Arabidopsis thaliana: one gene and its partners. The protein of the gene in region 3 purifies or fractionates together with the protein of the main gene of each other region. This does not show direct contact. Each region holds a gene or a part of one and is shown on either strand. Other genes may lie near its edges. The genes, in order: RPN1B, AT1G75990, RPN10 and AT5G26360.

Evidence for each region.
Region 1: the proteins of RPN10 (region 3) and RPN1B fractionate together in Arabidopsis thaliana (co-fractionation; one large-scale study listed by BioGRID). This does not show direct contact.
Region 2: the proteins of RPN10 (region 3) and AT1G75990 fractionate together in Arabidopsis thaliana (co-fractionation; one large-scale study listed by BioGRID). This does not show direct contact.
Region 4: the proteins of RPN10 (region 3) and AT5G26360 fractionate together in Arabidopsis thaliana (co-fractionation; one large-scale study listed by BioGRID). This does not show direct contact.

Annotation. Positions count from the first base shown.
Region 1 is NC_003075.7:14,066,150-14,075,327, forward strand, and holds RPN1B (26S proteasome regulatory subunit S2 1B), read right to left. Parts: upstream 6,434-9,178; 5' UTR 6,209-6,433; coding exon 6,092-6,208; intron 5,759-6,091; coding exon 5,658-5,758; intron 5,493-5,657; coding exon 5,372-5,492; intron 5,280-5,371; coding exon 5,220-5,279; intron 5,035-5,219; coding exon 4,924-5,034; intron 4,767-4,923; coding exon 4,701-4,766; intron 4,562-4,700; coding exon 4,440-4,561; intron 4,297-4,439; coding exon 4,182-4,296; intron 4,062-4,181; coding exon 3,987-4,061; intron 3,894-3,986; coding exon 3,735-3,893; intron 3,637-3,734; coding exon 3,529-3,636; intron 3,452-3,528; coding exon 3,350-3,451; intron 3,259-3,349; coding exon 3,118-3,258; intron 3,036-3,117; coding exon 2,931-3,035; intron 2,848-2,930; coding exon 2,626-2,847; intron 2,531-2,625; coding exon 2,417-2,530; intron 2,329-2,416; coding exon 2,113-2,328; intron 2,016-2,112; coding exon 1,956-2,015; intron 1,860-1,955; coding exon 1,746-1,859; intron 1,652-1,745; and 9 more. Other genes in the region: AT4G28460 (uncharacterized protein), read left to right, coding at 1-152; AT4G28480 (DNAJ heat shock family protein), read left to right, coding at 7,161-7,325, 7,803-8,248, 8,507-8,942; DMP7 (transmembrane protein, putative (DUF679 domain membrane protein 7)), read right to left, coding at 9,172-9,178. UniProt on the Arabidopsis thaliana protein: Acts as a regulatory subunit of the 26 proteasome which is involved in the ATP-dependent degradation of ubiquitinated proteins.
Region 2 is NC_003070.9:28,522,783-28,529,225, forward strand, and holds AT1G75990 (PAM domain (PCI/PINT associated module) protein), read right to left. Parts: upstream 4,067-6,443; 5' UTR 3,937-4,066; coding exon 3,858-3,936; intron 3,763-3,857; coding exon 3,572-3,762; intron 3,460-3,571; coding exon 3,322-3,459; intron 3,235-3,321; coding exon 3,098-3,234; intron 3,008-3,097; coding exon 2,842-3,007; intron 2,675-2,841; coding exon 2,435-2,674; intron 2,354-2,434; coding exon 1,841-2,353; 3' UTR 1,622-1,840; downstream 1-1,621. Other genes in the region: AT1G75980 (Single hybrid motif superfamily protein), read right to left, coding at 154-270, 551-623, 720-790, 937-1,063, 1,144-1,192, 1,280-1,520; AT1G76010 (Alba DNA/RNA-binding protein), read right to left, coding at 5,723-5,832, 5,926-6,363. UniProt on the Arabidopsis thaliana protein: Acts as a regulatory subunit of the 26 proteasome which is involved in the ATP-dependent degradation of ubiquitinated proteins.
Region 3 is NC_003075.7:18,055,364-18,061,881, forward strand, and holds RPN10 (regulatory particle non-ATPase 10), read right to left. Parts: upstream 4,236-6,518; 5' UTR 4,097-4,235; coding exon 4,085-4,096; intron 4,004-4,084; coding exon 3,890-4,003; intron 3,796-3,889; coding exon 3,690-3,795; intron 3,563-3,689; coding exon 3,448-3,562; intron 3,369-3,447; coding exon 3,156-3,368; intron 2,945-3,155; coding exon 2,665-2,944; intron 2,581-2,664; coding exon 2,484-2,580; intron 2,401-2,483; coding exon 2,300-2,400; intron 2,202-2,299; coding exon 2,133-2,201; intron 2,048-2,132; coding exon 1,994-2,047; 3' UTR 1,625-1,993; downstream 1-1,624. Other genes in the region: AT4G38640 (Plasma-membrane choline transporter family protein), read right to left, coding at 4,521-4,781, 4,872-5,217, 5,665-6,518. UniProt on the Arabidopsis thaliana protein: Plays a role in maintaining the structural integrity of the 19S regulatory particle (RP), subcomplex of the 26S proteasome.
Region 4 is NC_003076.8:9,253,844-9,261,479, reverse strand, and holds AT5G26360 (TCP-1/cpn60 chaperonin family protein), read left to right. Parts: upstream 1-2,451; 5' UTR 2,452-2,588; coding exon 2,589-2,613; intron 2,614-2,707; coding exon 2,708-2,769; intron 2,770-2,860; coding exon 2,861-2,933; intron 2,934-3,233; coding exon 3,234-3,301; intron 3,302-3,381; coding exon 3,382-3,451; intron 3,452-3,646; coding exon 3,647-3,715; intron 3,716-3,796; coding exon 3,797-3,868; intron 3,869-3,983; coding exon 3,984-4,057; intron 4,058-4,348; coding exon 4,349-5,011; intron 5,012-5,087; coding exon 5,088-5,213; intron 5,214-5,359; coding exon 5,360-5,464; intron 5,465-5,565; coding exon 5,566-5,640; intron 5,641-5,733; coding exon 5,734-5,919; 3' UTR 5,920-6,427; downstream 6,428-7,636. UniProt on the Arabidopsis thaliana protein: Molecular chaperone; assists the folding of proteins upon ATP hydrolysis. Known to play a role, in vitro, in the folding of actin and tubulin.

The DNA of each region.
Region 1 (9,178 bases), 4.0 Mb from region 3:
ACGTGGTGGTTCCGGCTGCGGCGGGGAGGGTTCTTACTGAAAAATCGGGAGATGGAAGTGCGACTATGACGGTGGAGAAGATGAAATCGACGGTGGATTCTTGGTTTCAGCGTTTGGCGTCGGGTCCAAGTCCAAGAGGTCGCGGCCATTAAATTTTCCTTTTTTACTTTTTTTTTCCTGGCCGGAGGAGATTAATTAATCTCGATATACCCCATATGTATACCAGAACAAACGGTGAAAACTGTATTCCATTCATTTATTTCATTATTTGTTTTTTTTTTCTTTAGGCAAAGTTCATATAGTTAGTGACAGAAACTAAAACCCTCAATATACATGTACATGATTTTTGCTTTTGCTGGTTGCTAATTTTAATAAGATTTTATACTTCTGGTTTATGTTTGGGAACGAACTTATTCAAAAAAAAAAAAAAAAGATACACCGAGGAAACAAGTGAGTCGTGCACGCCATCTATGTAAAATTGTAAATATGTAGCCGGGCTAGCTGGGTCACCCTTTCAACATTTTAATAATATTACATAGTTTTGGCCAAATCCGGAAACAACGAGAGGAGCCTTTGCATGTCACAAATTGAAGTTGGAGTGCGTACAAACCAAGAACTTGAAGTTCCAGGGCAGCAAACCAAAGAGCCCATAATCAATAAGCCAAGTTTATAGAAACGTCGAACGAGTTGATTTGAAGGAGTTGCAGGTTAAGAGAATTGGATTTGGAAACTTATCCAGCTTTTAGAATGCGATATTAAAGTAGTGCACAAGAAGTTCCTATATATTGCAATGAAGCTATTTTTTCTTTTAAAAGGAGAGATTGTGAACCATTTCCTGGGAACAGACGGGAATAAACTAAAAAACTTTTGACAACCGTAGTGAAAGTATTCAAAGGCTCTCTCTCTTTCTTCAAATGCTTGCAACTTTGGATTTACTCCTCTCTGTAGTCTGGATTTTCCTTCAATATGACGAAACCTTCTAATATGGGCGACAACGGAATGTACCTGTGACCCAAAAAGAAGCAGAGTTTTTTTAGATTCCAATATGTAAAACAGAGTTTTATTTCGAGTAGGATAATGTAACAAGGGGATTAGAGGAACAACATACTTCTCGGTTGCGAGTTCAGCTCTCTCCCCAGCAGCAAGGAGAACAGGTGTTGAGTGCGTTTGGAACCCAGTGATTGTCTTAGGTCGGCCTGCCTGTCCAACCACATCAACCGCTTGTCCTACCCGCACTGGCACCGAGATGGGCTTCAGGCTCTGATCCACCGTCAGCATCATCCTTGGCTACACACTCAAACCGTATTGTGTTAGTAGATAAACTTAGTTCATTAAAAAAAAAGTCATCAGACAGAAAATTGCACTCACCTGCATCGCCAAAACAAGGAAGTAGAGCACATAGTGATATTTCCCCAGTATAATGGATTTCATGTCAAGGCATGCATGCAACAATGTCACTATACCAGCAAGTGCGGTTCTAGGTACAAAATACAACACCCAAGTTTAGGATTCACAAGGTGGAGCTTTGAAAGCAAAGTATACATAAAATATATGTTATAACTTACGGCGATAGCAAGAGCCGTTCGGAGTGGAAAGGATTGAGAGTTAAGAGACCCTTTCCCATATGCACAAACCCTTGAGCGATGCGCACCTGCATTGTGACTTAAGACAATGAGAACAAGCCTATCATAAGTAGAAACCGTGTTTATTCCATGAAAACTTAAAAAGAAATCATAAAACGTTACACAGAAAAGAAGGCTGGCATCCTTGTAATAATAGCTGGAGAGATTTCTAAGCATGCCAGCTATCCTTGCATTGTTGGTTCCAGCGCCTATCAATCCAAGGGAGATAATTGCTGCCTGTAGGAATCAGATGAAACATCAGTCCAACGCTGCATAGCAAGTCAAAGAAATAACTACTCTACCTCAACCATGAGTGGCGAAAAGATAACTCACCATTGCAACTTCTGAATCTGTGTCATGGCTTAGTCTGCTCAAAGTGTCCATAACAGTCACCTGGAATTATAAAAAAGTTAGAGAGTAACAACAGTATTCTTAAGCAGAAAAGTAACTGCACGCCGCCGAAAACTAGATATGCAAAAATAATACTCACCTTTGGGTTTGATATACATAGGAGACCAAGAGCCAAAGGCACTGCACGTCGAATGTTCTGCTCTCCATACTGTAGTACGCGCTCCAAAGAACGGATCTCCATATCCAGACCCAATTCCTCAGACATAGCAACCATAGCTAATCCAATCACAGCTGGACCCTGGTGGATATCACCTTTCACCAGATGCTCTCCACACTGAGCCAGAAGGTCTTGGACCTGAATAGTTTGAATAGTTTGAAGAGTCAGACTAAACTAGAAAGAAGTGAATAATCTAATTCAACCACTAGCACACTTGATCAGATACCTTAAGGACATTCCCGGTTCCAGCATATGCACATGAAAGAAGTGTCATATCACAATACTTTCTGATTTTCTCATTGAACGTCTTTGAAACTTCTGCAGTAGCCTCCACACTTTCCTGCTCGATATTGGAACAAGTTAAAACTAATAATCGGGGAAATAACGATCAAGTACACGAACAAGAAAAATAATCAAGTATGACTGGCTGCCCACCTGTTTGCCAAGGTACAAAAGACCAAGTCCAAGAGGCAAGAAACGAGTGAGGGCTTCACCCAGCTCTGCCTCGCTCCGATCCATCAAAGCAAATATAATAGATTGTGCAACCTCTTCGTTACACGAACCAACATAAATCATCCCCAAACTAAGTGCAGCAAATGCAATCACATCGAGAGGTGCGTTGGCATCATTTAGTATTGGAGACAACCTGATTTTTATCTATCCAAACAGTGAGCATGTTATTGTCTCGTCAACAGAACATTCAACTTAGCACCATAGGTAAGAAGATAACATGTATTCACCTGATCATTTTGGGAACCCGCATATGCAATCCCGAGACCCATAATAGCACCAATTCGGACAGATGAATCCTCATTGTCAATATAACCTGAAAGAAGGGCAAATGCCTGAGAAAGAGAGCTGAGTGAGAATGAATGGCGAAAAATTGTGACACAGAGGTTCCCATATTAAAAAAAAAAAAAAACTCACAGGGTCACAATCATTCTTAATGCCACAATTAACAATCCCAACTCCCAGCAGAGCTCCAGCAACGACGGGATTATCGTTACTATGGAAATATTTGTCGAGATGACCTAGTCCGGTCTCCACATCCCACAATTGAATCATACCCTAGAATTGTTGTTAAAACAAGTTCGTGTTACAATTTTACTTCCAAAATAAAAACATAGCTAATCAATTTATCAAGTAAGATGAGGTATACCAGACTAGCAACTGCACTGGTCTTTCCATGTTCTTTATTTTTGAAGAGCCAGTTTCCAGCCGATCCACTGGTTGAGTCAGATGGTACTGTCATTAATTTGTCCTGCAATAAGGAAATATATGAAAAGGGCAGCTTCCAAAGTTCTTCTTATGTTGCACATTAAGATCCTGTAATCATACCTGGCCGAATCCAGCATTTACAAATGCATTCACAAAAGTCGCAGATAGATTTTGCCTAGCTGAGTCCACACTTGGACCAGAGCTAGCCCTACCATCAAGCAAGTGAGCCTGCAAATTTCAGTGGACAGGTAAGAGGCACTTCCATAAACATATCCTGTAACCAAATAAACCAGTAACAGACATAATATTCAATTAAACTGATATACCTTGTAGATGTCTTCAGGCGTCTTGGCCTCCATGACCTCAATATCCCTAGCAAGCGTCAGATATCCTTCACTCAACTTAGAGTTGTTAACAATATCCTGTAGCGCTTCTTTGTCTTCGTCATTTGCAACCATCTCTTGGTCAAGCTCAAAGGTCATACCCTGCATGGAGAAATAACAAGAGAAAAATAAATATAAGAAAATAAAAAATCAGGTACTGCACCTTTATGCTAATTTAAATTATTAAGAACTTACATGACGTGCAATCATGTAGCAGAACTGTTTCTTTTTTACCAGATCGGTACATGAGGTAAATACTTGCTTCACATACTGCACAAAGGAAAAATATATATCATAAGAAAAATACATAAGTTAAAGAAGAGCTTTTCCCAGCTGCTCCCATGTTGCAGAAAGAGGATATTAAGTTTTATATGAAGATTAGAACCATACCTGCATGTTATCAAGAAATAATGCAATTTGCAGCGCGTTTGGATATTCTGCAAACTTAATGTAGATCATGTAAGCAATATCTAGAACCAACATGTCATCTGGTCCTGGAAGATACCTGGAAAAAAACATACAATATCAACGGGACTGATAATGTGCAAGATAACCAAGCAAAGCTCATGAGAGCTTGTCTCATATGAAAATAACATAATTAAGGGTGAAACGCCAGTCGAATGAATAAGCTAAACATATTGAAATTACTTTGCTGCACTCGTGAGATAGTTGCACGTCCTCCTGAAATTTGTATTGTCAACATGCTCAAGTAAGAGATCAAGATCCTCAACATCCATTAAAAGGTCAACAGCTTCGGTTTCGGCATTATGCTGCAAAGAACAAAAGGGAATCCTTCAAAAATGTGAACAAAACAAGAGGCGCAAATTTCACGCCTATCAATGAAACTTATATTAATATACAATGGACCCCTTGTTATTACAAGAAAAGTAAGAATGACAAGGATCTCACCTTCATGTGAAAAGAAACAATTTGCTGCACAAGATCCATTAAGTCTTCAATAGAGGACTCTTCACCCTGATATAACAAAAAGAATGAGCATTATAACCATATTCAGTAACGAGCCCATTGTCATAATATTCATTAACAAACCATAATATCCATGACGTTGCCAGAATATGAGTGAAACTCCTCGAGCTAAAGAACATTGCCAAAGACCAAATTGTTTACTAACCTGACGTATTGTATACTCTTTTGCAATCTCTCCAGCCAAATTCCTGACATACTCGTGACCCCACGATCCGATGTCACTCTCTGATCCATTCAACCTATAGTTTAAGCTTTCCTGAAAGAGTATTGCATAACAAAGGATCAGCAACAAATAGCTTAAGTCAAATTCTACCAAGAACCACAAAACACAAATCTGGTAAGGCATATCATAAGAGGAAAACAAAAGGGAATCTAGTTAAATGAATGTGAAGCAAATAGCAATAGGCAAGAAACTCCTACAACAGTAGCAAGAAAGCATACCCTTTCACCTTCAGCAGACATGGTCAGTGCCAGGACAGAAAGTATATCAGCCAACATTTTCTGCAAAAACGAGTGCGATCTTATAATCCAGACTCAGTAGAACGACTAAGACGGTGTTGATGAGAAATGACTTAAAATGTTTGAAATCGTACTTTGAGATCAGACTCTGCCATTTTTGCATGAAATTCTTTAAGAACTCCATAATGAGGGCGGAGAAACTTGAGGGGTTTTGGAACTGATGTCATGGAGCTTGTTGAGTCACGAATTTCCTTCCTACATACCAAAAGAGATCGATCAAGATTAGACTATGAAAACAGTGAAAGCACTAAAAGCAGCAAAAGAAGTGTCATAAGCCCATTAAAGAAACTCCAATAGAAAATTATCAGAATATTTGCATCTAATCAAATCAAGGATGGGTTTAAGAGATACAAAAACTACCTCATGCTTTCAAGAGCAATCTTCTGTAACTCAGGATTGGGGTCCTGAACTCTCTCAACATAGAGCTCCAGATTCTGCTTTAGTTGCAAGTCCTCTTCAGACTACAATAACATCATATGCAAATTGAGTCAGCTGCCAATCAAACCAGCTAAAACCATAGCCATAGTACAAAAGATTCCTATTAATTTAACTCCATGTGACTTAAACCCTAACAAGAATTGTATCTTCCCAGAACGAGTTATAATGTGGATTTAACCAACTTCTTAACCTCGCTTTCTAAATAGCAATGCGACATTCACAATATATCAGCTAAACCGTACATCTCGGAAAATCTACAGCTTAATCGTGAGTTTTTTCCGATCTCCCTGGATTCTTTCTAACTCAGCTAAGCACGATTCCAACTAATAATCGAAATCGATATAAAGAAAACTCACCAGATCCTCTTCCTTTTTATCATCTTTCTTCTTGGAATCCTTAGAAGGAATCTTCGTCGTAGCTTCGTCCCGCTTCGCACCACCGCCAACACTGTTCGGATCCGGAACTGGAGCCATTGTAAGTCAGACTATCACCTGATCAAATCAACGAATCCAAACAATGAGTATCGAAATTCGTAAAACTCGGAAGAATCGAGCAGCTTCTATCTTATGAGCTCTCGCGTAAACCCTAAGTCTCTCTGGAATGGCTCGTTAGAGAAGAACTATGCTTTTCTTCAGGAACTGTAGCAAAAAGGTTCAACTGTAAAAAATAAATACTATCAGATAAAAAAAAGTACTTATACGGAAGAAGATTACCCCTCGATCAAGAATTCCATTGTGGGCTCAGCCCATAATAAATTGGGCTATTCATTGGGCCATAGTATTCTACTATGGTCTCTATATAAAACACCTTGTCTTTGGCAAACATCTCTATATATAATCAACACTTTAAAATTTATTTTATTTGGGCGATATAGCCAATCACAAAATAAAGGACTCCAAAAACATCTATTTTATCGGATTTACATTTGATCAATTTAAATTCGAAGCAACTAATTCGATCGGATTTAAATTCGAACAACATAATAATAGCAACATTTATATAAATACGTTACATGTCTTAGTCGACATGTTCTTTTATGGTAAAGTTAGCAATATTAGTCGAACTCAAACATATACCTTCACATAATGAAAGAGGAAATAACATTTAATTGTTTTTATAATTAATAATATAAATGGGAGAATCTGAATTACTTGAGCGATAATAAAAGAAGAAAAGGAAAAGAAATGGAGAAGGGAAGAGGCAAGATGGCAAAGCTGTGATTTAAAACACCGTCACCTCCCCGTCAACGGAGACAAACAAAGATCGTGTTTTCTCGAACCTTCCACGAGATATACTAAGCCAAAGAAGAAGAAGAGACCTGAGACGAACAAGAAATCCAGAAATTACCAATTCCTTTTTTTTGTTTAATCGAATTCAGGAAAAGTGAAGAAACGAAAGAGAGAAGACAAAGAAGAAGAAGGTGAGATGGGAGTTGATTATTACAAGGTTTTACAGGTTGATAGAAGCGCTAACGACGATGACCTTAAGAAAGCTTATAGAAAACTCGCTATGAAATGGCATCCTGATAAGAACCCTAACAACAAAAAAGACGCTGAGGCTAAGTTCAAGCAGATCTCTGAGGCCTACGATGTATGTGTTTGATTCCTCCACTGCTTTTGCTTTATTGAAATCGTCCCTAAAGTTTTGATTTTTATTTCTATTGAGAAATTTTCATTCCCTTGATACTGTCGGTGGTCACGAACTTGTTTCTGATTTTTGATATGAGATGCAATTAGTCTGATTTCACGATTTGATGTTGTGTTGGTTCGTGGGGTTTTTAGATTTCGTGTCCCTGAGTAATTCGAATCATAGTATATAGTAAAAGATGATTGCTTTATATTTGGGCAAGCTAGGTTATCTCCAAAGCTCTTAATTTGTGCTTTCTTTGCTGATCTTCTGAGTCATGATTTATCCGTTTTCTTAACTCTGTGATTGATTATTGAGAACCTCTTAGGCACTCTGTACTTGTCAATGTGTAGCTTAGGATTATGAGGAACATACTAAGATTGTTTGATTTGACTCAGGCTTTTATGAGGCTAATGTTGGTTTTTGTTGTGAGATGATTAGGTTCTTAGCGATCCTCAAAAGAGAGCTGTATATGATCAATACGGTGAGGAAGGGTTAAAAGGGAATGTGCCACCTCCCAATGCTGCTACTAGTGGAGCATCCTACTTCTCAACAGGAGATGGATCTTCGTCTTTCAGATTCAACCCGAGAAGTGCAGATGATATATTCGCTGAGTTTTTCGGGTTCTCGACCCCGTTTGGTGGCGGTGGTGGTGGCACTGGAGGGCAGAGATTCGCTAGCCGCATGTTTGGTGATGATATGTATGCCTCGTTTGGTGAAGGAGCAGGTGGAGGAGGAGCTATGCATCATCATCACCATCATCATCATCACGCTGCAGCTAGGAAAGTGGCTCCTATCGAGAACAAGTTGCCTTGTAGCCTTGAAGATCTCTACAAAGGAACCACCAAGAAGATGAAGATCTCCAGGGAGATTGTAGATGTCAGCGGGTAAGTGATTGAACTCAGATACCATTTCGATCACACTTATAACATTTTGTTATTAGGCTTATCTACTAGTCAACCTAGAGCATGGTTTTAGAAATATACAACCTCCCAAGTCCCAAGTATGATGAACATATATGAAACAAAGTTTCAAGCTTTTAGATTCTGCAACATTCCCCAGCTTCCATATGGTTAATTGTTGATTTGAGCTGACCCTAGTTGTTGTCTTAACAATATCTAATATCTGTCTTCTGGTAAATGCAGTAAGGCAATGCAAGTGGAAGAGATTCTAACGATTGGAGTGAAACCCGGGTGGAAGAAAGGCACAAAGATCACATTCCCAGAGAAAGGCAATGAGCATCCAGGTGTGATTCCAGCGGATCTAGTCTTCATCATTGACGAGAAACCCCATCCAGTGTTTACCCGTGAGGGCAACGACCTGATTGTCACACAGAAAGTCTCACTAGCTGATGCCTTAACAGGCTACACCGCAAACATAGCGACCCTTGATGGCCGTACACTTACAATCCCGATCACAAATGTGATCCATCCAGAGTATGAAGAGGTGGTTCCTAAAGAGGGAATGCCACTCCAGAAAGATCAGACAAAGAAAGGGAACTTAAGGATCAAGTTCAATATCAAGTTTCCAGCGAGATTAACTGCGGAACAGAAAGCTGGGTTTAAGAAGCTTATTGGGTGATGATTAAAGCATCTCTGTCTTGTGATGTGTGGAGATTGGGATAAATTTGGTAATATACAATTTATAGGGAATTATCTCCCTCTTCATTAAATTTCGTGTTGTTAAACAAGTCTTCTTTTTAAAGAATAGTTTTTTCAAGATTTGGTACATGTCCTCCATAAACAAAAATTGAAGATCACAAATCTTTTTGTTATACAAAAGTTTTTCAGTTCTTGTCTAGAGTATGAAATTATTCT
Region 2 (6,443 bases), on a different chromosome or scaffold from region 3:
TGTATTGCTTGCAAAATAGTTTTGTCAGCCAAAACACAACACAACAGTTGATAAATATTGTAGAGCTTCAAACGATTAGACTGCAAAAGACCTTCAAAGTTCTTCACCAAATTTGACTTATGCCTAACGGCCCTAATCATCATCAGCTTCAGATCATAAAGACATTTCTTTCTTTTCTTTATATTCCTCCAGAGTTATCAGTGACTCCTTGTTTTTGGTCCAATCTGCAGGTCTTGGCATAATTATCGCAATATACCCTTCGCGGTCAGCCTGAAACAATTAGATTTTATAAGAATGGGAGGTGATCAAAATACAGAACATCATCATTAGCTTTATCCTACTCATGTATAAAAGCAAGGAAACGATGATCAAGTTATTTAAGTTATCCAACTGATTCCATAAGCAAAGTTCTTGACATTAAGAGTATAACATAAGAGCTCAAATTGTTATTGAAGGTACAGCAACAATAGAGACTCATAGCAAAAAATGAGATTTTCATTGGTTTTTGAGGATTTGTTAGAGAAGCCAATTTTCCTCTCTTATTACTTACCGTTGAATTAAGAAGCTCTGGTTGCTTAATCAATCTCTCGTTGACCTCCAAGAGAGAGCCTTTAACGCAGCACCTAGCAAAAACCAATTCAGAACAAAGACAACTTCATTTTTTTGCAAATAAGAACTTAGGACAAAGGAAAGTGAAAACAGAAAAAAGCTTTGCACACCTAACAATGTAAGTATCTTTTGCAGTGGAAACTTTGCACAATGCTGTATTCGATTCAGAGCGCAACGCATTCTACACAAGAAGAGCAAGTAAAAAACAGTAGCTAAAGCCAGAATCTAGACTCAATCAAAGACAATAAACACACAATTTCGAACTGCAAAACTTCAAGCTATAACAATTACTAAAAGTCTAAGACTCAAGAATCAAGAGAAAGCCACCTTTTTACGCTTGCCGGAGACTTTCAAGACGCTACGATCAGACTTACCAACATTGAAATCGACACTAGTGATTCCACCTTCATCCTTAAAAGCTATATGCGTAGGAGCCAATCCAATTACACACAAACTATCAAACAAACAAACACACAAGTAAGAAGAAAACCAATTTCATCATTTCAACAGCAAAAGGAACAATCTTTGACATACCCATTAGCGTGACGGTAAATATATTGATCATGACCCGATTTAGTAAAATCTGCAAAAACATTGAAAAGGGTTTAATTCACTTCACACTATCAAAAGGGGTTTTGAAAAACACTAAACAGTAGGTGAATCTGAGAACCTGTGATGAAGTAAGAAACAAAATTGACTTGTGTAGCTGAAGGAGGAGAAATCGGAAGTTCTCCAATATCTGAAAGCAGAAGCTTTCTCAATTCGTCTTCCTCTTCATCTTCTTGTGTAGCTAGCTGCTGCTTCTGTTGGTCGTCGCAATCTTCTACTTCGTCGTTTCTCTTTGGGTTAGTTAATTCGATTGTATCCTCAATTTCTGGAAACTTCGCTACATCAAGCTTCAGAATCTCCATTGTTTCGACTGTTTAACCTTTGACGGCGAAAAAACAATCGGAGTTACTTCGCCGATTTGTAATTACATAACTAATGGGCCTAAAGGCCCATCTACTGATCTTGGGTTTGAATCATGTTCATGTTCTTCTATATTACTAACTTCACTTCTTCAGTGAATTTATTTACCAGAATTTTGATCCCAATGTGGACTTGTGATAAAGTTTGAGATTTTGTTTTTTCATAAAGTAAAAGAACTGATGTGCATAATAACAAGAAAAAGTCAGATAATTCAAAATAACAAAAGTGTTAACAGACAAAAACAGTAGAATTTGAAACAAATCTAGAAATCATCATCGTCTTCCTCAGCCATGTATTTAGCGAGCTCCTCTTCTTGCTGTTTCATCTCCCTTCTTTTCTCCTCGCTCTCTTTCTCCCTGTGCGTGTTTGGCGGGAACCTCAGTGCTCTAACCGCTTCATTGTGCATATTCAAACAGAAGGCAATCCTCGAGTTAAACGCAGTCTGTGGTTCATTAGTGGAGTAGATGTCTCCTGTTTCCTTGGAGACCATACAACCGTTCTTGTGGTCGATGGTTGCGTCGATTGCTCCATCTCTAATGGCTTTAGCGACGATGCTTTCTGCATCAGCCACTGGGTTCGCTGAGTTCAGTCTCAGCTTTTGAGCAACATCCTGTAGAGAGATTCTGGAGTAGGAAATGCTGATGTTGCGCAGTCCTGTTCTGATCACGTTGTGTCGGAGTCTGACTATGAGGTTGTGAGTCCTGTCTTCCGCAAATGTTTTGGCAAACTTCTCTTGGATTTTCCCGAACAGCTCCAAGTCACCAATTCTCACAGCCTTACAAAATTTAAACAAGAGTATTAGCAAGAAAACCTTAATTAAAGCATATGTTAGAAATGTAAAAAAGATTGAACTCACGTTGGTCAGCTCAAAATATGGCCTAAGAGTCTTCTCCATTCCTTTCTGAGTGAAGATAGATCGTTCAGGTATTTCACCCAACAACAGCCGAACTATGATAGCCCACTTGTTGCACTGGATTCTGAATCCCAGAGATGCAACAGGTGCTTTCCTAGCAGCTTGGAGGAGACTCTCTTTTGCATCGGTGTACTCAAGTTGAATCGTCCTGATCTTGCCAAGGTAAAACAAGTACCTACAAAACTGTAAATTTATATAACGAGATGAGTATCGTTTCTAGTTGAAACATGTGAATGTAGTTTGGAGAAATTCACAGTGAAAAGTTGGCATTAGTAAGCATCAGAGAGGTTGGCATAAGTAAGCATCACAATTAACTTAGAATTAGAAACTAGAATGTATGAAAGGGTTACCTGTTGGTTAGAGTGTGCCTCAAATCGAGGCGCTTTTGATCTCAACTTCTCTGCTTGGTCGTACAGGTTGTAGTGTAGATAATTGCGAAGCAACAGATTCAAAAGTGTTTCCTGGCCCAATTCGTCGTGGCGCAGTGTGGCCGAATGGTGAAGAGCAAGAAGAGTACTGCAACAGAAAGAGAGACAAGTTAATAAGATAATTGAGTGTTGAACTAATATGATAAAAGTTGAAAGATGACTGTGAACTTGTACTCACCTACGTATCTCTGCAAGATCATTAGTTAGCTCGTAACTTAAGGAGTAGTAAAAATACAATTTGGAAGCAATGACATCAACGGTTCTCCTGTTTACGCTTTTGAGGCGAGCAATGCTAGCGGTAGAACAAACTTTGGCCTGAAAGCAAAGAAAGTAAAACAATGAAGACCACAGCAAGATTTATAAATAAAGTATGTCAGTTAGAGAGATAGAGAAGAAGTAAACCTCGTTGTACTTTTTCTGATCAATGAGAAAAAGAAGAACAATGAAGTAGCAGTAAATCTCGAGCTCTGCAGGTAGATGCTTAGGAGGAGCTTGGGAATTCGATGATGCTGTATCAACTTCCATGTCATGTTCATCACTCTGTACCAATATTATAAATTCCATCAAATTAAGGGCAAACACTAATACATGAATCTAATTACAGATCCTAGATAAGCTCGTAATCAAAGTGGACAAGTGAAGCTACACATACCTTCGGCACAAAAGAAGAGAGACGAGTGTGAGCTTCAGATCCAGGAACCAAAGCGAAATCAAGGAAAGAAGAGATCACGGAACCCGTGAGCTTCCTTCGTAGTCCAACGGTGAGACGCACAGCACGAGCAATACGACGGACTTCCTTTGTATAAGATCCAGTATCAATCAGAGCTGCAATCTCCTTCAAATCTGGAGAAAAAAAAAAGCAGTACAACGAATTCAATTTTGAAACAAACCTAGCAATGTGAGATTAAGAGAAACTGAAGCATAAGATAGAGATTTACTCTGTAGCGTGGAGGTAGGAGCAGAGACGACGGATTGCGTTGGGGTTTGGTTATCTTTCATCTCTACGTCCTGAGTCATCTTTTTCGCAAATCTCAAGTCGTCTTCTTCTTGACGAAGGTAAATTAAAAATTGATTTGAAAAGAGCAGGGCTTAACGCACACATAAGTACTCTTATGTTTTCCTTTTTCTTTTCCTAGACAGAAATTACCAAATTATATTTGGGAAAAATGTTGTTTTATACGCGAACTTTCAAAAAGTAGCTATTCTATACGTGAACTCTGACGTCGGCCAAAATAAACATGAAAAATACGTTGACCAGCCATTTTAACAGAAACAAAATGTTGACCTCGCCAAAATCCCGAGACGTTAACTCGCTGATTAACCCCGTTAAGAGAACGTTAATGAATTCTGTTAAGACCAAAACGCCGTCGTTTCAAACCTAACGAAACAAATCAAAATGCCCAAATCGAAAACTCAATCCCTAATTCTCTCAAACCAAATCCCTAATTCTCTCATTGGTAAAATCGTGTTTGTTCTTCGATTAATCTTGTTGTGATTGCCTTAGCAATAGAAGGCGAAGTCGACATTGCTCCTGTTCCACCACGACGAGTAGCTGAAACCGGAGATGGAGTTTGATGGTGGAGTTCTAGCTTTGCCGGCTGTTGTTGTAGCAGAGTCTTCTGTCGGAGTTGAAGCTCAAAGAAGATAGATTGAGAGAAGTTGGATATAAGAAATCGATTTGGGGAAGATGAAGACTTAGGGTTTGAGTTTTCGATTTGGGGATTTTGTTTTGTTTCGTTTAGAACAAAACGACACCGTTTCGGCTTTAACAGAGTTTATTAACGTGCTGTTAACGGGGTTAATTGGGTCTGTTAATGCGAGTTAACGTCTCGGGATTTTGGCCAGGTCAACGTTTTGTTTCTGTTAAAATGGCTGGTCAACGTATTTTTCATATTTATTTTGGCCGACGTCAGAGTTCACGTATAAAATGGCCACTTTTTGAAAGTTCGTATATAAAACAACATTTTTCCCAATTATATTTTTCCATTTTATTTTTTTCTTTCCCTTGAAGGCAGATATTATCTTGTTTGTTAATACTATTAATGTCATTAATTAGAACATCAAAGTCGTTGTAGTATAGTGGTAAGTATTCCCGCCTGTCACGCGGGTGACCCGGGTTCGATCCCCGGCAACGGCGCTAACATTTTTTTATCGAGTAAATCTATTGTTAATACGGTGTCGACGAGTCTATGAGCTTCCTTTCCTTTGTTGTGTCTGTCTCATTAGAATTTTGAAGATCAACCCAAATTCGAGAATCGATGGTTTCTGGCTTTCTACTTCCATTTTTTTTCTCTCTCTGTGTAAATCTGCTTCCATTTGTGAGTTATTTTCGTTATAATGTTATATAAGAATTCAACTTTGCAAGGGTACTTGTTGGAAATAAAAGAATCAACTGTTCCATCACATTAAAACTGATAACCAAAGAAAAGAGGTAATTTGTCCAAACTGTGTCTCACTCTCACCTAAACAAAACTACAAAACAGAGGAAAAAAGAAAAGAAAAGAGGATGCCTCAGTAGTTCTTCTCTAACAAAAACCCAAGACGACGACCAACCATAAAATAAATTGAACATATATTCCTAAGCGACTCTAAACAAAACAGACCACAAGCTAAAACACTGTCAATCAATGGATAGTAAAAAAAAAAGAAGGGGAATGAGATACACTTATGGCAAACATGTCTTCTTGATGGACAGAAGAAGCAAACATAGAAAGAAAGTGAGAGAACAAGGAGATAGAAAAAAAACATCCAACGACTTGGGCTTTTTTCTTCTTTTTATGTTTGTGTAAGAGAAACCTCACTCTCAAGCAGCTGCCTGGACTGGTGGTCCATCTGATCTGTTGTTGAAACCACCATCACCACCACGTCCTCCTCCTCTTCCACGTCCTCCCCTTCCACGTCCACGTCCACGCCCTGCATCAAACCAATTCAAAACTCATGGCTTCTTCACACAATTACAGTTCAAGAACCAGGTAAAAGAATACAGAATGTTTTAATTTATTTTACCACGACCCTGAGGACCATCATAACCACCACGGCCCTGAGAAGGACCATCATAACCACCACGGCCCTGAGAAGGACCATCATAACCACCACGGCCTTGAGAAGGACCATCATAACCACCACGGCCCTGAGGAGGACCATCATAACCACGGCGACCCTGAGGACCATCGTAACCACCGCGACCCTGAGGACCATCGTAACCACCACGGCCCTGAGGAGGGGCATCATAACCACCACGGTCATCATATCCACGGTGTTCATGAGGAGCATCGTAACCGTAACCTCCATCTTGTGGTGCATCATACTCATTCGGAGGACCATTGTATCCTCCTCTTCCACGACCACGACTGCTGCGTCCTCTGCCACGTCCTCTTCCTCTACCATAGGACTGCTCACGTTCCCAACCTCCATCTTCATGCTCAACGTTCACATAAGCATTTCCTGACAGCAAAAAAAAAAAGACTTTATTCATGAATCATATGTTCAAAATCAATATTCAACGTTCACTAAGCCAGATGATC
Region 3 (6,518 bases):
AATTTGGCAGGAATAGAAAAGTTGTAAGAGAAGGAGGTAGGAGAAAACTTAAATGTTTTTAAGATAAAAAAAGGAAAGAAAGAGATATGTGAAAAAGAAAAAGAAAATAATGAAAACCATAAATGAAGGAAAGGAAGCAACAACCAATGGACCCTTTCTTCTACCAAACTCTATTTATTTCTCACTACCCATCTCCCTACCAACCTATATACCAACCTTTCCTCATCTTTTGTCCACTTGCAAGCGATCTACATCTGCATACATACATACATACATACATACATACATACATATTACACATGAATGCATAACATACATATACTGTATATCCATATACCACATAATATATTTATGCATGCATGCATATAAAAATTATGTATAGGAGTTTCATTGAATGTAGCCACATGGTTGAATTTAGAAAGAGTAGCGACTCGTAAACTTAAACATTGTTCTATCGTAAGATGCTTGGTAAAATCGGTGTTGTACATGTTCCTTCGTTGATATCCTCTCCTCAACACTACAAAAACCCTCTCTAGCTACTACATTAATTATCATCTCAAATCCCAATAGAGCAGTATATTATTTCCTCGTATATATTTAGATTTAGTTTTAAAATTGATCAAATGGTTATATACTCCAGTTGTGTGTTTGTTTTTTTGTTTTGGCCAAAAATTGGTAAGATCTCAAAAACTGGTATAATCACTTGAGAAATTATATGATCACCAAATGACAAGTTGTTGTCACTAGCACTGGGGCTTGATATATATCATATTCTGATGAAGATACAAACTCAACAATAATGGAATCAATAAGAGTTTTCTCAGGTTGCATCAACTAATGAAACAAATTTAAAGTTGGAAAAAAAAACAAAATCAGTTGAAGTCTAAAATAAAGTTGAGAACGTTTGATTAATTTCGAACATCGAGATTTAACAGTGGTTGGGTAAATATTATGAAAGTGAAGGAATAACAAAAAAAAACATGTAGAAGTTGATAGAGGAGGATGATATTTTGGAAATGAAAGAGATGGGAGAGGAGGAGTGGTGAGAACTGAAGATAAGGAAAAAGGGGAAAAGGACAAAAGGATGACCACACACACAGACACAAGTGAACAAAGACAGACGCACCTGCCTCCTCTTCCTTCTTCTTTCTAATATTATTCATTTTCATTTGTAAAGAAACGACTTTTTCAAAAGGTGTTAGGTAGATGCAATAGAAGCTTCTATCAGTTTTTCTTCTTTCTTTTTTTTTATGTTATAGTTTGTGAGTCTTGTGACTCTTTTTGTCTTTCCCTTTCTTGCTCTAAAAGGGAACAAAGAAATTTCGTCACTAATAAGTTTCCCCAATAAAAAGTCTTTAACGATAGTCATATTTAGCAATTCAATTTGTTTGTGTAGCATAGTTTACACGTACGTAGATGATCAAAACTACAGCTCGCATGTGGCAATTAGCAGACAAATACACATATCTTGGGATAAATATAAATTAAATAATGCAAATAGATTGCAATTAGCAGACTAATAAGCGCATATAAAAATTAGATTGCAAAGAACAAAAAAACGAGCCAACAGTAGAACAAAGGAATTAAGTACCTAACTGCCACGTGGGACTTTAATTACTTGGAGAAAAACATAACTTCGCAGAAATGTGAGCAAAATTTAATTACCAATGTAGACTTTTTGCACTGTCGTAAGAATATTTCAGATTTGACACTTGTGCAAGGTTCATTACGAATTTAGGACTCGCTATTCTACTGAATTGATCGAGAGACCTGTAACAAATAGGCTTACTTTCTAAGAGCCCATTGACATAAAGTCCAATAAAAATTAAGAAGGAAGCTAGTCCTTGACTCGTACAATAACAACATTATAAAAAGGCGAGAGAGAGAGAAAAAAACAAATTTCACAAGGCAGAGAGATTAGTTAAATTCAGTTCCAATCTCTATCAAACCAAAGAAACAAGAGGAATTTTTATTGAGACTCTCAGATCCTTCTTCACTTCTTCTCATCCTCGCCTTTTTTGCTACTACTCTCTTCCTCCTCGGTACGCTGTCATTTTAACCATATACATTTATCAGAATCTTCTTTTTCAAATAACAAAAAGATGTAATCATAAACATCAACAAAGACACACCTTTGACTCGTCTGGCAGAGACGCTAGTAGTTCTTTAACTGCCGGATCATTTGGATCCACCCCAGGAAGCTGCGTGTACACAAAGTCTTAGTACCAAAGCTAACCCTACTACTTTTCTCTTTCATTTTGCTTGTGAAAAAAACTGACTAAGGTTTATGTAGGCTTACCGATGAGAGAACAGACGATATGAAGGCTTGATTTCCCAAGAGGTTGTTTCCAGCACCTGTAGCTTCACTTGACTCTTCCCCACTCATTGACATTTGCAGAGCTGCACATGGAGTATAAAAAAATATAAGAAAAATGCCAATTTTGATTGCCATGGATATACTTTTACCACACTGTTCTACTTACCTAAAGCCAGATCCTGGTCCTCATCAGCCGCTTCTGACATATTCACATCACCAACAGACATAGCAATTGCCTGATCTAGCAACGCACTGTCCTCATCCTGCCACAAAAGGTTGTATGATTAACAATCTCTCCGCCTGTGACTATATAAGAATGCTACACTCAATTTTAAGTAACAACTAACCATTGGTTCAGCGTTCTTGTCAGTTGTCCTAGCAACTGTCTCCTGTGAGGCGGAAGCTGTGTCCCCATCTTTGTCTTTCTGACCTGCCTCATCGGCCGCCTTCTTGGCAGCAGCTTCTTGTCTTGCTCTCTCCTCCTCCATGGAGACCCGAAGGGCAAGAGCAAGTTCTGGATCGATATTTGGGTCCACACCAAAGTCGAAGTCCCCACCTGCGGCCGCTGCAGCAGCTGCCGCAGAAACATAGCCACTTGCACCCTCATCACCCGTGAATACAGGTGTGCTGGAAGAAAATTTAAAAGTTAAAACACTATCTATGATTCAAATCACTGTCTAAATGTTTTGTTGCAGCATTGATAAAAAGCAAGACTAGAGAGCTCAAAAGACCTAAACACACAAAACCACATGAAGTGCACCTACCAAGCCGGATATTGTTGAAACTGTTCCTTTTACAATCTACATAACCTAGAAAAAAAGAAGAAAAGGGATGGTACCTGAGAAGCACATCTGAGAGAGCATTGGCTCCAGAAGGAACATGAACAATGTGGCTACCGTCATTGTTATTCACAGCTGTAAGGAGCGCCTCGAGTTTCTGAGGCTTTTCCTCATCATCATCCTCCCCGAAATTGACAATATCAAGAGAGACACTATTCTTCTTCAGCCTTTTTCCAACTATCTCTAGGGCCTTCTTCTCGTACTTGATTGGACTAAAAAGTAGAAGCAGAAGAAAAACATCAGTATAAAACTATACAAAAGTTACTCAGCAAAAACAAAGCAATTCGGTACCTTCCAGCAAAAACAATAATCCTTTGGCGTTGATTCTTGTTTTGGCGATGCTTAAGAGCTAGCTGGGCGATCTGGATAGCTGCGGTTAAGTTGATCTCTCCTCCCACATCAAGGCCTGAAAAGATGACGCAAGTAGCAAATTGATGTCAAACTCAATGATAAAGAGAAAGAACAGATTTTTTCTAATTGCTCTAAGTAGACAGCTAATAATAAATAGAAAGATTGGAGAGAGAGATACATACCGTGCATACAGGCCAGAATTTTGCCAAGATCAGAGGTAGGAGTAGTCAATACTCTAACTCCTTTGCCAGCCATTGTCAAAATCCCCACCGTATTCTCCGGATTCGACTGCAATTGCAAAAAAGAAAGATCCCTAAAAATCACAATCTCACGCAAACCCAAAAACCCTAATCGAATCAAGTGAAAAAACGTAAATTATTACCTGGGTTTTGGCTCCGCAAAGAAGATTAACAGCTTCCGTTTGCGCCTGTAACCTAGACGGAGAGTAATCTCCGTTTCGCATCCACTCGGAGTTGTCGATACATATCATAGTCGCCTACAACAAGAAATCATCGATGAGAAAAAGCATTCAACGTGGATCATCAACGAAGATAAGCACAAGTAATTGGAAAATCACCTCGAGAACCATCGTGTCGATAAGCAGAGAGAAGCTTCAAAAATTCTGTCGTAGAGAGAAAGTCAGGAAGGCAAGATTTAGATTTTAGTTTAGACCGATAATAATAACATTGTTCTTCTTTAAATATCCCCTTTACTTTTTTACTTTCTCCTTTTAGACCCTAATGTTTTACGTTTATTTCAATTTAGCCCCAATGGTTGTTTTTGATAAAAAGCAAAACAAAGTTGATTTATTAATGAATAAAAGAAACACAGACCACATTACAGTAATTCCTATAACTAAAGTCTTTCTTTTATTCAACATTGTTACCCCATAACTCTACAAAACATCAATATAAACCCCAAGAAGACAAACCACAGTTCACCAGAGAGGAATTTACAACGGTGCTAACAAACAAAAAAAGATACAACAAGCAGAGACGTTGGATCATCTTCTGCTATGCATTAAGAGCATTTGGGATGAGAGAAGATCTTGTGCTTCTGCTGATAGGCAAGTGAACATAAACCTCGTGAACTTCCTGCTTACATACATCCCCTTTGTCTCTATCAATCGCGTAACAGACATAGATTGTGTCAATCACATCGTCAAGAACATGTACAAAGAAAGCCAATATCACAATCAGTAACACCCACGCCAGTACAGCCACCACGTACGAATCTATACCCAGGTTGCTCACTCCTCTCAGAACAGCCCATGTCTGCTTTTGCGCATCATCAAACCCCGGAATTAGTCATTATGGCAATTATTAAATGCTTGGTTGGTGAGACAAGCAGAAGATAATACTTACCGCGACTGCATATGCGGCTGACAGGACAAAGACTATTCCGGTTAGGATTCTGGTGGAAACCGTTTCGACAAATACAGCTGACAGTAGGTTGCGTCTTAACAGCTCGTAAGTCATTTTCGCAGAGGTGCAATACGCTTCCCCTGTTATTGCAGCAAAGTTGATGGTGAACTTGTTGAGATAGTCAAGGGCACCAAGTAAGGCGTTTGCACAGCAACGGAGAACCATGTTCACTATTCCTTGTGTGTTCTCTTCTCTTGCATTGTCCACAATTGCCCGGACCACACGAACAATGCATATGAGAAGTCCTGATACACATATCGTACCAAAGGATTGACCAAATGCATTCCTGAAGAGACAGATACAAAAAATAATAAGATTCACACATGCTTTGACATAAACCAACAACAGATTTGAAGACTAATGCAAATTTGGATCCTCAAAGCTATAATCTCCTTTCAAAAATACCACTGTCTGTTGTCTCTTTTCACATTTAAAGTACCAAACAAGTTCAGATGATGGATTCCAATACAATATCCAATCTATAAGGCCAAGACTATGAATACCATGACCTAGAATCACTGAATACTCCAGAACGAAGCCAAGCAAGGGATACTTCGAATGACCATAGATTATATTTTATGAGGAAACAAAACTAAGAGAACTCAAAGCAAAAACTCCCGCGATCACACAAAACATATATTAGAACTAAGAGCACCATTGATTGTAAGAGAAACTGCACAGCAAATTCATTGATAACAAGAATAAAATAGAGAAAGATGTGGCAGCGAGTCACCTCAAAGAACTCCGGATGCATTTTTTAGGGATTGAGTCTTCCTTGGAGAAATACCACTGAGCAATAGCTCCACTTATCACATACACTTGCATTTCCACCATTACAGCAAGAGACCAGATCATCGTTAAAATGGCAAGAGCGTAATACGCAGGAACCCAAGAATCTTCTTTCCACTCACAAAAGTACTGACCATCCAACTCTCGCGGCACAAACTTCCCATTAAACCTTGCAAACACCAAGAACACCACAATCGGCGCATAGTACACCACTAACCCGAGAGTCAGCAGCGGCAGCACAACAAAAAGTTTCAAATTTTTGGACAAGGCATCAGATGCAACACTGATGATTTGGATAGTAAGATCAATTCTGTGCCAATTAGCTACTATGATCCAGACAATGATCCCGATGATCAAGAAAACAAAGACTAGGACAAGTATTCTGTAAGCTAGAGGGAGGGCATCGCTACAAGAAGAGCTAAGAGTACAGGCGACAAACCAATAGACATTGAAAAAGATGGGAAAAAGGACAAAGAGAGGTAAACAAGCATAAACAATCTGCTTAGTGTAGTGTTTGAGCAAAAGCAGGACGCTAAAACAGAAGGGCACGCTTAAAATAAGCGTTACAACAAGTGTCCAGATCAAATCCTTCTCAAAGACTGGATCAGACGAAGAAACCATGCCGTACATGACACTCGAAGAAGCCCAGTAGTACCCATCCGAAATTTTCGTAAAGGTAGAATTTTTGACGCAGGAGCTAGAGGTGAAATCGTAGGTGAAGGAAGAGGAGTTCCCGTAATCGTTATTTCTATGAAAAATGGAGAAGATTCCAAAACCAAAGGTGGAGAGTACGAGAAG
Region 4 (7,636 bases), on a different chromosome or scaffold from region 3:
GAAATTGCCAAAATCACATGTCCATAAAATATCTTCTAAATATGATTTTTATTGATTATTTAATATTTTTGAAAGAATAAATAAAAATATTTAACTCTTCTTCAATCTTAAACCATTCTTTTCGTAAAAAATACGTAAAGATAGATCAATCATAAATGTCCTAGGAATAAGATACGTATTAGGTAATGTTTTTCTTTTGAAATTAAAATAAAAGTATTTATATATATATTTTTGATGCACTTTTTGATCAAAAATCTCTCTAATATTTACTAATAACATATGAGTTTTTATAAATTCTATCTCAACCAAAATGTTATATTCTTAAAAATTTACAAATCGTTAATTTGCATTAAATACTTGAATTAACTATTTTCTTTATTTCTTTTTTAGTCCCTACAAAATTTATCTAAAAATATTTTATTTTAAATTTAAATCTTTAATTAATTTTTATATTTATTAAATTACATTCAATTAATTGCTAATTTCCTAAAATCTATATATCTACATTAATAATAAATATATGATTTTTCTTTCATTTTTATTTGTTCTTATATCTAATTTATTTTTATTTGATATATATAATACATATAGTTAAAAATATATTAGTTTTTTCTGCATATGAGGTAATTCAAAATTTTAAAAACACACATATACTACTCAATCGATGAAGAAAAAAAATAAGTAGAAAAAATCCCACATTACTTTAAAAAATTGAGTAATAGTTCAGAGTCATACATGGCTTTCAAAGCAAAAACTATAGCCTACATAACAAGGTTCAACACAACCTGATTACAAAGAATTCTATAAAACAAAGATGGGCCTATTTCTTTGATCACACTGTGTCTTAGTAAAAACTAAGAGTCTCAAAGTCTGTAATCTGAAAAATCAAAGGAAGAAAAATTCAGGGAAACGAAACAAACACAAATGAGAAATCAAATAAATTAGCGAACCAAATTACAAAAACCTAAAACAGGAGGGAAAGCACTTACTCTTGTTATAAGAAGTAGACTTGACAAAAATAATCTTAAAAGGAAAAGATGATAACACTGAAGAGTTTGGAACAACTTTCTGACGGGAGATGGATTAGGTCGAGGGAGATTATACTATTAACAGAGGAAAAAAACCAAAAAAAACTCCATTTATTTTTAATTTGTTCATACCTGCGTTATTTAATTTGGCCGTTTAATACCTAAGTTAATTTTTATGTTCATTAAAAACCTTCATTTTTTTAAATTTTGGCAAAATCAGACATGCGAGTTAACGGGCGTTAACAATGGTAACGGAATCGCTAACCGCAGTTAAAACTTAACCATATAATGTTTACTATTTATATACAATTTGTTTTCTAATAGTTATGATCATATTATCTTAGTCCCAGTGGTTTTGAGAGAGATTATCATCCTCATCAGTTCGAGATCGATTCTCATCTCCAACAAATTTTTTGATTTTTTTTTTTAACAAAAGGCAAAATCTCAGTAATCCGAGTTACGATTTTGAATTTGATTCTGAGACTTTCTTTTGTTTAGCACCACGTTTGTTAGATCTGCTTCAATTCGATTTTGAGAACGAGCTAAATTAGATTCCTTCATCTCTTCAATTCATATTAAGGTTTTCAATTTCTAGATCGATTGATATGAATAAGTCAGCAAAGATTGCATATTCCCAGTTTTTGCTGATATTTTGCGTTGAAAAATCCAGACTTTGTTTTTCATTGTTAGTAACGTTGATAGCTTATAGAAAGATTATGTTACCATTAATTGCATCTGTTGATAACAAATAAGATCGATTATCACAAATCTATGTTGTATTAATTGGTCTAACATTTGGGACTTTTGGTTGGTGATTGATTTTGGTGCAATATCCTTTGGAGAAAGAAGTGAAGCAACACACAAGTGCAAAGCCTGTTGAAGTGAAAGAGATGGCTGACTTCGATTTTGCCTTTTTGTTAAAAAAAAAAGAAAAAAAATCAAAAAAAATTTTGGAGATGATAATCGATTTTGAATCGATGATGATGGTAATCTCTCTCATAACCACTCGACTAAAATAATATGTTCATAATTATTAGAAAACAAATTGTATATAAATAGTAAACATTATATGGTTAAGTTTTAACTACAGTTAGCGATTTCGTTACCACTGTTAACGCCCGTTAACTCGGATGTCTGATTTTGCTAAAATTAAAAAAAAAAAAAAGGTTTTCAATAAACATAAAAATTAACTTAAATATTAAACAGGTAAATTAAATAACGCATGTATTAAACGGACAAATTAAAAATAAATGAAGTATTTTTTGTATTTTTTCCCTCTTAACAAATTAGGTTAACAATTCTCCCGTTCTCACGCATCTTTACCTAATCTTCCGGATATAAAAATACTATTACTTTGTTTTGATCTTACAAAAAGGCCCAATGTGTGAAATATTAGTTAATGGGCCTTAGGGATGGGCTTCTCAACCTAAAATGAAAAGCACGAGAGAGGATGAAAGAAATCGGAGAAGGCAGTAGGATCTTCCACTTGCCGCTCTTTGAAAATCACTCGCCGTGTCTCTCTAAGCTTCTTCTTCACTGTGAAAACCTCAGATCGCAAATATGCACGCACCGGTACTCGTTCTGAGTGAGTATCTCCATCTTCCTCCAGATCTCATTTCCTCTAAATCGATATTAGTTTTTTGGTAACGAGATTAACTCCTTTTGTGAAAATGGTTTAGGCGATTCGTTGAAGCGTGAATCTGGAAGTAAGGTTCATCATGGTAATATCCAAGCTTCCAAGGTAAATTAATCCTTTTCTATGGCTCTTTTTCTCTGTGATGCTTGTTGCTTCTCTCCTCTGGTTTCAGATCATCGTTGTTTTTGTGGTACAGGCTGTTGCTGATATCATTCGTACAACATTGGGTCCTCGTTCTATGTTGAAGATGCTTCTTGATGCTGGTGGAGGTCTTTTTCTAAACACTTCCTCTTTTTTTTAGGCTTTTCATATCTCTGTATGTGGGTAGTAGATCTCTGTAGTGAGGGAATTAGGTTTAGTGTTTTTAGCTTTGGAAATGTTTTTCTTATGTACTCGTTCTTTGTTGAAGCTATTGTTCTTCAGTTTCGGTGTTAGTTTTATATAAACCCTAAATCAATATTTGGGTTCTGTTTGTCTTGTTTTTTTTTTTTTTCTGTCTACCTTTAATTTTTCTTAATCTGTGTGTTATCATCATATCTTACCCCTCTTTGTTTCTTGGATCTTTACAGGGATTGTTGTTACTAATGATGGGAATGCTATTCTTCGTGAGCTAGATGTCGCTCATCCTGCAGCTAAGGTTTTACTTCTGACCTTTCTCTATCTATTGTTCTTGTTAAAATTGTTTTACTTATCCATTTTTGACTCTGGTGATTGCAGTCAATGATTGAGTTGAGCCGTACGCAAGATGAAGAAGTTGGTGATGGGACAACGTCTGTTATTGTTCTAGGTACGAACATTCTTTTTTGCTAACAAATAGTTTGTCAATGGCTTGGTTTGGACCAGTTTTAATGTATTTTTAACTAAAGCACAAACAAATTACTTAAGGATATTATGGGTGCTGCAGTATTCAGTTCAACATCATGATCTCTGTTTATAATCATGGGTTCTTGAAGTCCTCTTTTTGTTTGCTTTTTGCCAACAGCTGGTGAAATGCTTCACGTTGCAGAAGCGTTTCTTGAGAAGAATTACCATCCCACAGTCATATGCCGAGGTATGCTGGCACTATGAATTGCTTATTGTTGTCATGTTACACATGTCGTTTTCATCTTAACGAATGCATTCTTCTCTGCAGCTTACATCAAGGCTCTCGAAGATTCTATTGCTGTTCTTGACAAAATTGCTATGTCAATTGATATCAATGACCGTAAGTCCATTTCTACCTTGTATTTGTTCATTTGGAGTTGACCTTCAGCTACTTTGGTTTCTGAAGTTAGTTTTTCTTTCACGTTTGTACTGATGGAAGAATGTGTGAGTTGCAGGTTCACAAGTGCTAGGATTAGTCAAGAGCTGCATAGGGACAAAGTTCACTAGCCAATTTGGAGATCTTATTGCGGTAAGTACCGTAATTACAGTAGCTTCTTACTTATGCATTACCAGTCCAGGTTTTATTGCTCCTTAATATATATTGGATATGTCTAGACAAGTAGGTATAGATACAGCATACATCTTGAAGTGACTTTTTAAATGTAAGATGAGTAACCATGAAATAACTTGAATTTGATGACTGCTTTCTTCAATTCTTTTGGTGGTTTTCGATTGTTGAAATACTTGTAGTATGAAGTTCTACAAGTTTGATTGTCGTTGGTACTCACATGATTTTATATGACTTTATGTACTGTTTTAGGATTTGGCTATTGATGCCACTACTACTGTTGGTGTTGATCTTGGACAAGGTTTGAGGGAGGTAGACATTAAAAAGTACATCAAGGTTGAGAAAGTTCCTGGTGGTCAGTTCGAGGACTCTGAGGTTCTTAAAGGAGTTATGTTTAACAAAGATGTTGTTGCTCCTGGTAAAATGAAAAGAAAGATTGTCAACCCACGGATTATTCTTCTTGACTGTCCTCTTGAGTACAAGAAAGGTGAAAATCAAACCAATGCTGAGTTGGTTAGAGAAGAGGACTGGGAAGTGTTGTTGAAGTTGGAAGAGGAATATATCGAGAACATTTGCGTTCAAATACTAAAGTTCAAGCCTGATTTGGTTATCACAGAGAAGGGTCTTAGTGACTTGGCCTGTCACTATTTCAGTAAAGCTGGGGTAAGTGCAATCCGAAGGTTGAGAAAAACTGACAACAACAGAATCGCCAAGGCTTGTGGAGCAGTAATTGTGAACAGGCCCGACGAACTGCAGGAGTCTGATATCGGTACTGGGGCTGGCTTGTTTGAGGTCAAGAAAATTGGAGATGATTTCTTTTCTTTCATTGTTGATTGCAAAGAACCCAAAGCCTGTACTGTACTCTTAAGGGGACCAAGTAAAGATTTCATCAATGAAGTGGAAAGAAATTTACAGGTTCGTTGGTGTTATTTACAAATCTGTATTTCTTAATCATTCATAACCTTATATGCCTGAAACATTGTCCCTACAGGATGCCATGTCTGTTGCAAGAAACATTATCAAAAACCCAAAGCTAGTTCCTGGTGGAGGAGCCACAGAGCTAACCGTTTCTGCCACATTAAAACAGAAGAGTGCAACAATTGAAGGCATAGAAAAGGTCGGTTTTGCTTTTATTACATTTTGTTTCCTTGCCTAAAGTTGTGTGATTTTGTGTCAAATCTATATCGAGCCTCTAAAACGAGTATGCTGTTCCCACGGTCGCTGATAAATGTTCTTTTGTTGGTCTGAATCTTATTTAAACAGTGGCCTTATGAAGCAGCTGCCATTGCTTTCGAGGCTATTCCACGTACCCTGGCTCAAAACTGTGGGGTTAACGTGATCCGTACTATGACTGCATTGCAAGGGAAGGTACTGTCCTGTACTAATGAACCCCAACTGCCATCTCTTGCCCGTTGTTTAAGTATATACCAACTCTTTTCTCAATGCTTCAATTGTCGGTTTTGGTGCAGCATGCAAATGGTGAAAACGCATGGACTGGTATTGACGGGAACACTGGTGCAATAGCTGATATGAAAGAGAGCAAGGTAAGGATTAAATCACATAACCTTGGTTGATTCTCACAACATGAAACCAATGTGACTCAGAGAGTTGACTAAAAGCTTTTAACAATTTTCCAGATATGGGATTCGTACAATGTGAAGGCGCAAACTTTCAAGACGGCTATAGAAGCAGCGTGTATGCTTCTAAGGATCGATGATATAGTGAGTGGAATCAAGAAGAAGCAAGCTCCTGGATCTGGACCTTCAAAGCCTACCATTGAGACAGAAGGAGATGCAGACAACGAACAAATTCTTCCCGACTAAGCGAAGGGAGAAACACTTTGGTCTCAGCATAACTCAATCTCTGTTTTCACTTGTTTAATGGTTGCACTCTTTTGGCTATTATCTTCCCTTGACATATCTTTTAATTCTGCAGTTTGACTTGGTGAGATAAGATTTTCGAGGGTGGTTTTTTTTTGTTTGTTTTGGAATATTAGCTTTTTTGAATTTTCGTAGTCACTTTGTTGGTTTTTAGAGTGCTAGTTGTTATTGTCTTTTTGAAATTTCTGGCACTAGAGACTTTTTTAGTTTGTGTCGTTTTTGTTTGAATATCATCAAGTATGTACTTCAACTGGATCTTTAGTTGACCGGTTAGTGTCAAATTGTGTTTTTGTTTGAACACCATTAATTGCATTTCAGACGTACGGATCTGTTATTTAGAGTTTTGGGTTATTATTCAGGTTGACTCGGTCCGAATTTATTTATACGGGTTGGTTTTGTTACTGAAAACCTTTAAACTTCGCTAGTTAAATGAAAATTGAAAGTTTAGTTATGTTGATCTTGATCTAATTTTACAGTAAACTAGAGGAAATACGGGCTACGCCCAAATTTATTTTAAAATTTTATTTCTGTTTTTTGTATTGTTTTTAGTTCATATATTTTTTTTTAAATTTGCTATATCTAAATAGAAAATTAGTTTGAATTACTTATATTTTTATATACTATCTATTTGTGTTATTTAAAATGAAACTGAATCACCTTTTATTTTTATTTTATTTTATTAAAGATGATTGTAATATAAATAGTTTTTCTTAACTCAAAATAAATGGGTTTGTTTTCACAAGACTTTTTTATTTTTTCATTTCTTTGAGGTTTTGTTTTGAATAATTATTGGATTTTCTTTTGTTGGGTTTAGTTCATTAGTTGGAATTATGTATAGTAAACGTATTAAACTCAATGGGTGGATAATTTGTAAAATTTATTTGTAAAAGCTAATTTTGTATTATTAGATTGGTAGCATATTGTTCAATTCTGCATATATACTAATCATTTATTAAATAAAAAAAGTTAATAGTTCTTATTATGTATAAAGATTCGTTAATATTTTCAAAATTAGTTATTTGTAATTAACGTAAATTTGATTTTTTGATTTTTTAATTAAAATAATGAATTACATTACCTTCTTTTTTGTCAACTAATAATTTATATTACCTAAATTTTATAAAAACTGTCATTGAAAAATTGGACTTTGTGATCTCAGAAATAAATTATAAAAATATTAAGTTTCTTTTATTTAGTTTTGTTAGTTTAAACCATTTTAATTGAAATCCAAGAAAAAAATAATATTTTATTTTAAGCATTTAATTTGCTTTTGTTTTTGAAGTAAAAAAATCAACACTTATTTTTTCTAGTAATATTTATTAAAACATTATTTATTTTTTGTTTTCTAAATTTTTTTTTAATAATTTGGTGACATTGCATTTAGAGAGAGTATTTAAAAGAAAATATGATGTGGCATCTCTAAAATGATTTTTGGAATGATGATGAGGATGACTTGAGAAGCCTCAAATTGTTTCTTTTATTAGCAGTAGATAATACTATTTTAATCATATACTATCGTTTTCTTATACATTTTATATGGGAAAAAACTCTAAAAAAACCTCATATATTTTTAATTTGCCCGTTTAATACTTCGGTTATTTAATTTGTCCGAACAATACCTAGGTTTATTTCTTTTCGCTTTAAAATCTTTCGTTTAGTT